Linked DNA regions of Drosophila melanogaster. The protein of the gene in region 2 interacts with the protein of the main gene of each other region in a biochemical or structural test. Each region holds a gene or a part of one and is shown on either strand. Other genes may lie near its edges.

Region 1 (5,278 bases), on a different chromosome or scaffold from region 2:
TCAGATGTTGCTGCTGTTGGAGCTTCTGCTGCTGCTGTTGCTGGTTAGTAGCGGGTTTGTTGTTGTTGTTGGTAGTGGTGGTGGTGGTGGTGTTGGTGGTGGCATTGATACTATTATTGTTATTATTGCTGGATGGGACTGTGGATGATGTACGGACAATCGTTTTGCGCAGTGCAATACTAGTGCTGGCGGTTGTGCTGGTTGCATGTTGCTGCTGTTGCGATTGTTGCTGCTGTTGCGATTGCTGCTGATGTTGTTGTTGTTGTTGGTATCTACTTACAGCTGCAGCCGGCACAGTTTGCAGACGGATCTGTGTGGTTGTGGGATGGTTTGTGGTGCTTGTCGTGTTGCTGTTATTGCTGGTGTTGGTTATAGTCTGTGTCACCGTCGGCGGACCCGTCGTCGTGCCCACGCGCAACAGCTGGAATCCGTTATCCGTCTTGACCAGCAATGCCGGGGTCTGACCCGTATTAAGTGTGCTTAAAGTTATCTAAAAGTAGAGAGAGAAGACAGAGAGACTCGGTTTTCATCTGCTGGAGCATGGTGTGTATGGTGTATGGTGTGAGTGAATGGTGGGCTGTGCACATGCGTGTTTGTGAGGAGCGTGGCTGGGTTAGGGAGCTCTGTGAGTTAGTAGGGAAGAACCCACCACAACAACCATAGTAATAGCAATATTATCCTTCATACTCACCGATGGACTCTGCGGTCTCACGCCCGCCATGTGGGAGTTGATCACCACGCGACTGAGCGGGTTGGTGGGCACATTCTTCTGCTGCTGCTGTGACGGCGCCTGTTGGCGCATGCCCACCACCACGCCAGCCGGCAGCATTGAATTGAGCAGCGGTTGACCGGCCTGGCAAATACGCAACATTATCATTAGTCTATCAATTCATCTCATCACATTTTCAAAGTCTATTTGGACCAAAGGATGCATTAAGAGGTTTTGCGGGATTCTAAATTAGCCTACATCATGCAGCAGTTGGCTCGGCAAAGGACCCCAATTAGTGCGGAAATAAGTTGTTTAACTGATTCTCTCTGTGCTAACCAAATTTGAAGGCGTATAATCTACTATATCTTGTTCTATTTAAAGCGAGCATTGAAAGCAATAGTTCTACAAATGTAATGGTTTGGATATTGGTGTAGAATAAGGTTTCTGTTGAACAAGTGCGTGTTTTTGAACAGTTGTTAGGGATTTGATCTTTGGGAAACTTTTCGGCATTGGGATAAAGTATTTCAAATTAAAGATATGTCTTTTATGGTGATTAAACTGCTTTAAGTTCTAATGAAGTGAATTGATATGACATTCGTAAAAAAAGAAATTAATTTTAAATAAAAGTACAAAAATGAGTGCAACAAACTCAGATATAAGTTTCAGATTTCAACTCAGATATAAGTTTCAGATTTCACATTAATGAATTAAGGATATTTTTTAAGCGTAAAATACGTTATCAAGCCTGGGACTAACCCCATTTGGATAAGGATATGGGAATTTCGGGCAGCGAGGTAGACAGATGAAAGCATAATAAAAGTATACAACCAAAGTGTGTGCGGCCACTACTATCCGATTCGAGCGAGGAATTGAGGGGGTTTTGATTGGGGATCAGATTTGGACGAAGTGATACGCCCGAGTTGCGATCGCCTAGCGCCCGAAGAGTGGGTTTAGCTTTAATATGGATACCTGATTGATGGTCTTGGTCATGGTTACGATTCCTGCTGGTGCACTTGAGACTAGACCCGCCGGCAGGGTGACAGCATGGTGGTTGGATTTAATAACTAGGGTTTGTGTTTGGGTGGCACCTACGGATTGCGTCTGCTGTTGCTGCTGTTGTTGCTGTTGCGACTGCTGCTGCTGTTGGACATGATGCACCTGCTGAAGTCCCTGATGCTGACCACCGATCCCCGCCTGGATCGTCTTGATGGTGGTGGTATTCGGTAGCTGGGCCGTGGAGATGACCGCGCCGGGATTGCCGGCTATGCTGATGGTGCCATTGGGCAGCGGCTGGCTGGTGAAGGTGATGCGATTGCCGGCAGCTGTCTGGCTGGTGTTCATCGTGCTGTGTGGTGTTTATGTTATTGGCGAGTGTGTTTCTCCTATTCCACTGACTTCTGTGTGTTGGTGTGGGCGAGCGATCCTGTTCCGATCAACTAGTTGCGCACATCCTGTGTTGGTGTTGGCGGAGTTGTTGCATGCTGTGCGCTCCAGAAGCGAACTGCAATGCAAGGGGAGGCGCTTTTAGTATTTATACAAGATTCGGCTCGAGGCGGTGGAGAAACAGGTAGGCGGTGGAGGTGCTACCTGACCGCCGGCTACCTGGCGGCCGTGCGCCATAAACCAGATGCTGCGTACACCTGGATGCCGCGCACAGGTAATCGCATTCACCTTGGCCAAAAAAGCGGGTGCTCCGCTGAATTGGTGCTGCGCTGGCTCACTCGCACTCGCCTTTGCCGTCACTGTCGTCGGCCTTTCTCCTGGCGCATCCGTTGCAGTCGTTGTCGCGTGTGTGTTATCTCGCTAATTCGCTGCCTTTTGTTTGCGCCGCTAAGCCTTTCTACACTTTTCCCGATCGGCGGGTTTTCCTGCGCACACACACACTCGCGCGTGCTCGCACGGACTGATTGTTGAGCACTGGAAGAATGCTTTATTTTGATTATTTTGATGTACAAAAAATTTGGCAGCGACGGTGCCAGAACGCCGCCATTTTCACGAATGCGCGTGCAAAGCGAAAATCGAGGCTGGTGGACGTTGCCAGATAGCGTGCGAAAAACACGTAACCAACGATCTGGCAATGCCGCTCGTTTATGCGGGTGGCGAGTGCGCAATATTCGTGAATGCACTAAATTTAAAAAAAAGTTCAACTCGAAAGTGGAGCACTTAATAATTGATGATTTCTATTAGGAAAAATTCATATTTTTCGAAAATCCGCATAAAAATATTTAAAACAAAAAGAAAACAAATGCATCTTGTACATGTCTCCAGTGGCAATATGGAGCATCGTGCCAGCCGTAGTATTAGTAATTTCTACTTTAGTGGCCAGCGGGTGGTGGCATAAACCCACGTCCGTGTCTGTGCGACTGTGTGCGTGTGTTTCAGTATAGGTTTTGTACAGCCTGCAATGTCGGGGGAAATTTTCTGGGCCCTGTGGCAGATGCACTCACTTCAATTCATTTTGCGTTCAAACTCGGTGCACTGGGGCGCATTTTAAACGATTTCCCGTTGCGTTTCTCTGGCGATTTAGCCGAAAACCGAGTAAATATTGTTTACGGACCGCCGAGGTACGGACGAGTTGTGCAGTGTGACCGTTGGCGACAATATCGTCGTGTTAAACGCGATACCGAATTAAAATACTAGAAAAGAAGTAGTGACTTGGATATCATGTCGATTTTTTATAGCCTTGTTGCGTACATTTTCAAAACCAAAAACGTTTGCTGGCATTTTGATGCCATCGGATTTTAGCCGCATACCAAATTAATTATATGCTCATTAGTTTTTATATGGGTAATAAGCCACAATTTTTAAGGATCAAAATAATTTATTTTAATACATTCGAATACGATACATTTTAAATCCTTTGAACTATTATTAGAGTACTGTTTAAAGCTGAATGTTAGGTAATTGAATAAATGAAGAATACGCTCAAAAATTAGAAACTACTAAAACTATTATTAGAGTACTGTTTAAAGCTGAATGTTAGGTAATTACAGAATTGAAGAAAATGCTCAAAAATGTTATTATTTTTTTATATTTAAACGCTATTTGCTCATATACTTAAATCATATATATATTCAAACGAAGGAGTAGTACTTTGTAACGGTCAAACAATCGATAGTTCCACTTTGATACCGAACTACATGCCCCACCACCAACGTGATGGTATTTTTGTTAGTTTTCGGTATCTTTGAAATGCTAAACTTCAGCACAACGGGCAAAATAATTCTGTAGAGCGAGTTAAATACATATCGTACAAATAGCGGTCTTAATAAAATAGACCATACCAATTTTAATATTAAACAAATTCCGTTAAATAAGCAACATATATAGTGTAATGGTATATTTTCCAAAAACTTCCAAAAATAAAAAGTGGTATTTGTTTCAAGTCGGGCTCAACATAGTATGATTATCCGATTACGCTGCGGTCACACTAGTACCGGCCCATAGAGACGGAAGAAAAATTTTATTTAACCGATTTCAGGTAATTGCCATTTGCATTAACTGTTTTTTAACCATGCACAACTAGGGCTAAAATGCCGTTGGAAAAGAGATCGCCACGTGTGCTCACTCGCATGTGGGCCAGACACGCGAAAAGTGCGTCCAAAGCTGCGGGGTAAAAATCGATAGAGAAAAGCAGATGAAAAACGGATGGGAAAGTGGTGGGGGGAGCTCCTTTCTCAACATGACGTGACTAAGACCACTTTGCTTTTACAGCTATAAACAGGCTATTACTCGGAAAGCACATATAAATTCCCGAATAAATCCGCATTCGAAGTCCCATAAATATTGACAGTCAGTCGGATAGGACAGCTAATGTAAGTAGAGCACTTGGTGGGGATGGGGGCAGGTCCAAAATGCAAATGCAAATGCCAATGGTAAACTAGTAAACCGCAGACAGATTGTCAAACAAATTCGATTTTCGTAATTGCAGCGCACCGCGACAATGGCCAACAACAACTACGCCGGGTTTAACTACGGCGGCACCCAGTACAATACGGGCCAAGTCTCGTACCCGGCGGTAACCAATGCCACCTACGCGAATGCGGCCGCCTATCAGAATGCCGCTGTGGCCGCCGGACAGGGTGGTTATGGCGGAGCAGCAGGAGCGGGCGCTGGCGCCACCTCTGGCCCTGGGGCGGGGGGTTATGGTGGCTACGGCGACTATCGAAGTGCCATGCAATACGACGCCACCAAGACATTCTATCAGCAGTCGCCGGCCAGCTACAACGCCTCCGGTTCGACAGCCTCGGTCAGCAAGACGCACTACTCGGCTCCGCCAGTCAAGAATCAGGTCAAGGGCAAGATGGACAAGTCGAACGGTGGTCCCAAGCCCCCTAGTTCGGCTCCTCCGGCGGGCAACAATTACAGTGGCTATGATACAGCACTCTACAATGCGGCAAGCATGTATGTGGCCCAACAGCATCAGGGCAATCCAAACCAAAAACCAAATGGCGGCGCCAATAACTGGTATCAGCGTAAGATGGGAGCCACCATACCAGGAGCAACGGCCATAAGGGGTATGCGTCCGAAGGCACCTCCACGTCCCCAGCAGCTGCACTACTGCGAAGT
Region 2 (5,281 bases):
GATTAGATCTTTGGACTTGCCTGCAGAAAGTCACGGGTGAAGTTGTTGGCCCTTTTGGAATTCGGACCGGGTACCTCGTACAGCGGACACTCCTGACCCACGGTGTATATTGAATTCACCGACCGTATCCAGTAGTTGTTCCGCGTGCGAATGACGAGGAAATCGTTGTGAGCCATCTTATGTGGATAAATAGGCGCTCGGTACATGTTGTTCTCAATCGCCTGTATGCACTGGCCAGGATGCAGGATGCCCAGGAAGGGACTTGTGTGCGCAAAGGCCACTTCTCCATAAACAAAATCCTGCGGCCCACTGTCCTTCTCAGCCTTACGCTTGTAGTAGTTCTTTATCTTGGAGCACATGCCCACCTGGTTTATCAGAGGCGGATGCTCTTCGCAGAACTCGGCTAGTACGATGTCTCCGTCCCTTCCGCTTAAATCCTCTGGGTTGCGCATAAAGAAGACGTCTCCGCCACCGGAGGCAATGCGCTCCACTTCGCGCTGCTTCGCCTTCTTTGCGATGGTCTTCAGCAGTGGGAAGACAGGATGAGGGATAGACTGGGCCATTGGCCCGTGGGAGTACTTCTTTAGGGGGGGGCGATGGAAGGCGCGGAGCTTCATCGGGCCCATGTGCGTAGGCACAAACGGAGCTCGCAGCTCTACCACCGGAGTCGAGTGTTGAATAAGATTACCGCCCACCTTAAGTCGTAGGGTGGGTTCTGTCTTCGGTGTGTAGTAACTGAAAGGGAATTAAAATCTGCATTCTGCATCCATTATTATATTAAGAGACTTACGTGTCATTGGATATGTTAAAGGGGTCACGGTCAGGACTTTTGGGTGGCGGCGGAGGTGTGTCCTCCGCAAGCACGTTGATCACACCCGCCTTGCCAAGTAGGATCTTAGACTTTTTTACGTGAGGATGCGGTATCTTGATCTTAGGTGGAGGACCCGTGCTCTTATTGATTTTAGAGGGATCTATGTCATCAGGAATACCCAAAATGATGTTTTCGTCGTTGGGATCCAAAGTGAGTACCTTCGGCTTGGGCACCTTGCTCACTTGCTGGGCATCCCAGATTACCTCGTCCTCCCACTTGTAGTATATTAGCTCCTCATTTTCAACTGGAAAAAGGCTATACCAGGTGTCATCAGGTGCCTCCGCTGGCTTTGCTTGAGCACTAAAATCGATTGAAATATTAGTGTAAAATACGTATGAATTCAACTTTCAATTAATTACTTTTGCTGGGCCTTTTTGCTTGATGCTCCCGAACCCTGCTTGGAGCTTCCACTTCCCACGGGCATAGACGGTTTGCCCGGCTGGCTAAAGGCGCCAGCCGTTCTCGACCCGCTCGAGGGCAACCATCCGGCTGCATTTGTCTTTGAGTTAAGCTTTTGGAGCACCTTTGCCTTGATGTCGTTACCGTCCCAGACCACGTCGTCTTCCCAATGCAGCTGGGAGACCATGAGAAAGGCATCATCCGCAATGCTTGGATCTTCGACATCATCTTCTGGACTCTTTACACGGCGTTCATCTTTGAGTTGCGGCTGAGACGAGGTGCTTGCTGCCTTTGTCTTGAAGCCATAGTTGAACCCCTCTCCAGAGTCGGGCACCTCTAGCATATCATACCAAATCTGTGCAGGCCCGAACCGCCAGTCAGCCACCTTTGGCTTCTGATCGCTGTTCTCGCCGTTGTCCGGTCCTTCTGGACGCACATCCTCGCTGTTGAAGTCGCCCAGCAATTTGTCCTCGTCGTCGGACATGCACTCCGCTGGCGTTGGCTCTGCAGCATAGTGCAGACTGAAGCCCCGCTTTCGTGGCTCCTCAGTATCGCTTGGAGAGTCCGAACCACCAGTGTTTGTCGTCTGAAATGGTTTACGAAAAGTTTCCTGGTGATCCCGTCCCGTTTAAAAGTACTCTGATCTTCTACCTTCTGATCCCTGGATTGATTTCGCTTGCGGCGGCGTTTGCGCACGTGTCGCCAGATCTGGGGCAAACTCGTGGGTTTACCGGGTCCGAAGAGACGGGAGAAGCGTAGCACCTTTTGGGGACGAAAGTCCGGAAAGAGCTCACGCACATCCACATTCTGGTACTTGGACGGCAGTATGTCTGCCAGTGGTGTGTCCAGCTTCCGATCCGCATCTTAAAGGAATGACCATTGACAAAAAAATTCTATTGTTTTCAAATAATTTTTACCCTTTGAATCGGTAGATTTGGAATCGTCACTGGGACTAGATGCATCATTTGACTTGGCCGGTTCCTCGATGCCGCCGCCAGAGCCGGAGCGCATTGGTGCACTTGGTGGAGGCATTAGTTCCTTGTCGTCCTTAGCTGCAACAAAATGTGAGTTATTCTCTCTGTATAGCAATAGGTCTGAACCCAACCTGAGCGGTGCAAAAGTAATCGTGTCACTTTGACAGGAATTGCATAGACCTTTAAAAATTTGAGCAATATCCTCTCCTACCAGTGTTAACTGGTTAAATTAAATGTCATCAAACCGTTGTAGATTACGGTCTTACTTACTCAACTTGGCCTCTACCTTGGAGGCGGGAATGGCGTCTTCTAAGTCATCATAAGTGCTTGTTTCTTCGGGCGGAGTGCGTGGGCAGTCCTCGGATAACTCGGTGATGTCAGAGTAGTCAATGGCATCGTCCTGAGCCTTTACGGCGCCATCCTCCCTTTTAACGCCCGCTTTGAGCGCATCAAAGGCACTCATTCCTTCGCTGGCACTGACGGCTGACGGTCTGGCGTCCTCCTCTTCCTCGTCATCCGACGGAGGCTCGGCTTCCTTGAGATCGATAACCTCGAGCAGCATAGAATCCAGACCCAATCTGAAAGTAATCCATACGCAATATGAATGGAAATGTAATTAAAAGTGTCTTATATCTTGTGAATTAAGATATATTTGAATGATACCGGGTTTACATATGTATGTACAAGCATGTGTACTCACTTGGAAAGGGAACCAATGTTTTCCCGGAGCTCCGCATCGAAACCGGTGCCCCCGCGCCCCTCTCCGTCGTCATCTTGCAGCAGTCTGCCCTCGGAGTCGATGTTGCCGAAAAGAATGCCGGTCAAGTCCAATCCATTGCCGATCGATCCCTCATCGTCGCTGTTGTCAGATTCCATCTCCATTTCTATGGGCTTGCAATGTTTACGCGGCTAAAGTATATTTTCTTCGACGGAGTGTAATTGCATTTTTCACACGCGTAAGTGTGACCGTCGATGGACAAAGCAAAGATGCCTCATGGCTCCCCACTGGCACCAGAAAATCCGCGATTAGATTTGGACAAGGGTTGGGAGCTTGGGAAGGTCAATTGCGTTTTGTACCGAAGGTTAGTGTCCAACAAAAAGGGCTCTGTAATATTTTTAATTGGCAATTTTGTACCATGTATGGCATACGTGGATTTTTATTAAAAAATATATATTCCTTTGATATTCGTACATTTCATTTGTATAATTATATATTTCTGAATAGAACTTCTGTAAACACCATTAACACGATCACTTTTGTTCAGCTTCTATCAAAATATAACTTTATTCAGCCAAAAATAGTTTATTCAACGCTCATTGGAGAAAAAATGGGCATACATAAGCACTACAATGCCAATTTAGAATTACAGTTCTCAGACCTACATTTGTGTTACGGTTTTGTAACGTTGAAGGAGCTATATTTCTCTATTGTTGTTCAGATTTTACAGAAATCTGTAGCAAACAATCATAACTACTTCAGATAGCAAAAACTTAAACCATCAATTTTTATATATTTCTTATTATTCATTTTTTATTATAAATATATATATGTTTATTTTCAGAAGTCTCTTCTTAACTTGGTTTTACTCAAACGATTTTACCAACTGCGCTTTCTCTAGCTGAGAATCGTTTTAATGATAATCTCGAAGAGACTATCCACAACTTTGGGATTTGTACTGTCACAAATTGTCATATTTGTACCAAAGAACTGCATGGGAATGTAGGATTTTTATATGCAGGCTTTGAACTATTTGAACGGATTAAAGGAAGAGTACGCTGAGCTCACAAATTTAGTCACCTTCAAGAATCCGATCCTGAAACTTTTACATCAAATGAATCTATGGTTTTTCAATAGATTTTCGTTATAAAATGTATTTCTGATGATTAAACCGGCTGAAAATTCGTTTTCATGGCTTAAACTCTAAAGAATCATTTTAATTCAAGGCAGCATTTCTCTAGGACACAAACCAATGCCATTGTGTACATTTTTTTGCTAATCTCTTTCCGTGACCGACTTCATTGTACCTCAAATTAATTATATGTTTTATAACTTACCTTTACCAAGGCTTCTGTTCCCAGATATGGAAAACCACAAAGTGGGAAAATTTAAAGGTAGACTAGTAAAAATCGAATATTTTTTTGTGTTTCGTCTTTTTGGAATTTCCCTTCATTATAAAATGCCTCAAATTAAATTTTCGAAACTTAATTATCCACGCTGAATGAATGATATAATAAAAATAAATATACGTATATTTACGTATACCGACCGTGATCAGGACTTAAGCCACTTTGAAGCTTGGAGATGGGTGGCAAGTATTTACGCTGTTGCAGAAAGAATATGATCATTAAGATGAGAAAGTGGCTGCGAAAAGCAAAGTGAATCTTGTGTTTTTCAGTACAATCCCTCAGAATGTCGCACTTGATATTCGAGTTTTTGTGTAGGACGAGGACTAGAGGGTTACTGCCTGCGATAGCTTTTAGAAAGGTCTACCTAGAGGGGGAATATTTAATGGAATGGCTCTGGATATGCCATCTCCATGCTTAAAGAAATCTATAGTTCTTGTTTCGCTGTATAACGCACTGCTGTTACCTGTCACCAACACGATTATCAGGAGAACTCCATGACATTCCATACATGTGTTTACTAATATCCACATATAGATCGAGATTCGTGTCAGCCCGCACCAAGCCAAGTCCCGTCATTGGGACACGGTCGGACATGGCGGGGCATGGGGGGACATGGAGGGTCACACGTTCATACGGACAATATTGTAAAATTACATGAGATGTTTTTACTTGAGAGGGTATGTAAACTTAGCTTGCCTACGGTACAAAATTTCTTATCGTCCAATAAGGAAACAAATTCTAGTCGATTACCTCGACTATCAGATACTACGCAGCTAAATCAAAATATGGATGGAACATTGATAGATAGCAAAACTAAAATAAAATATTTTTTTCGAATTTGTTAGATTTTTGGCGTTTATCGACGTGTCCAAAATCTGTTTTGCCTAACCAAGTTGCTAAGATACTCAAT

Evidence for each region.
Region 1: the proteins of Taf1 (region 2) and Taf4 form a complex in vitro, tested with the Drosophila melanogaster proteins (one study listed by BioGRID).

What each region holds. Positions count from the first base shown.
Region 1 is NT_037436.4:16,111,244-16,116,521, reverse strand, and holds the start of Taf4 (TBP-associated factor 4), read right to left. Parts: upstream 3,311-5,278; 5' UTR 3,157-3,310; intron 2,733-3,156; exon of another isoform or gene 2,638-2,732; 5' UTR 2,381-2,637; intron 2,215-2,380; exon of another isoform or gene 2,211-2,214; 5' UTR 2,051-2,210; coding exon 1,679-2,050; intron 854-1,678; coding exon 692-853; intron 491-691; coding exon 1-490. Other genes in the region: Zn72D (Zinc-finger protein at 72D), read left to right, coding at 4,653-5,278. UniProt on the Drosophila melanogaster protein: TFIID is a multimeric protein complex that plays a central role in mediating promoter responses to various activators and repressors.
Region 2 is NT_033777.3:6,644,835-6,650,115, reverse strand, and holds the start of Taf1 (TBP-associated factor 1), read right to left. Parts: upstream 3,228-5,281; 5' UTR 3,127-3,227; coding exon 2,945-3,126; intron 2,823-2,944; coding exon 2,515-2,822; intron 2,452-2,514; coding exon 2,188-2,451; intron 2,134-2,187; coding exon 1,922-2,133; intron 1,857-1,921; coding exon 1,231-1,856; intron 1,172-1,230; coding exon 791-1,171; intron 736-790; coding exon 21-735; intron 1-20. UniProt on the Drosophila melanogaster protein: TFIID is a multimeric protein complex that plays a central role in mediating promoter responses to various activators and repressors. Largest component and core scaffold of the complex.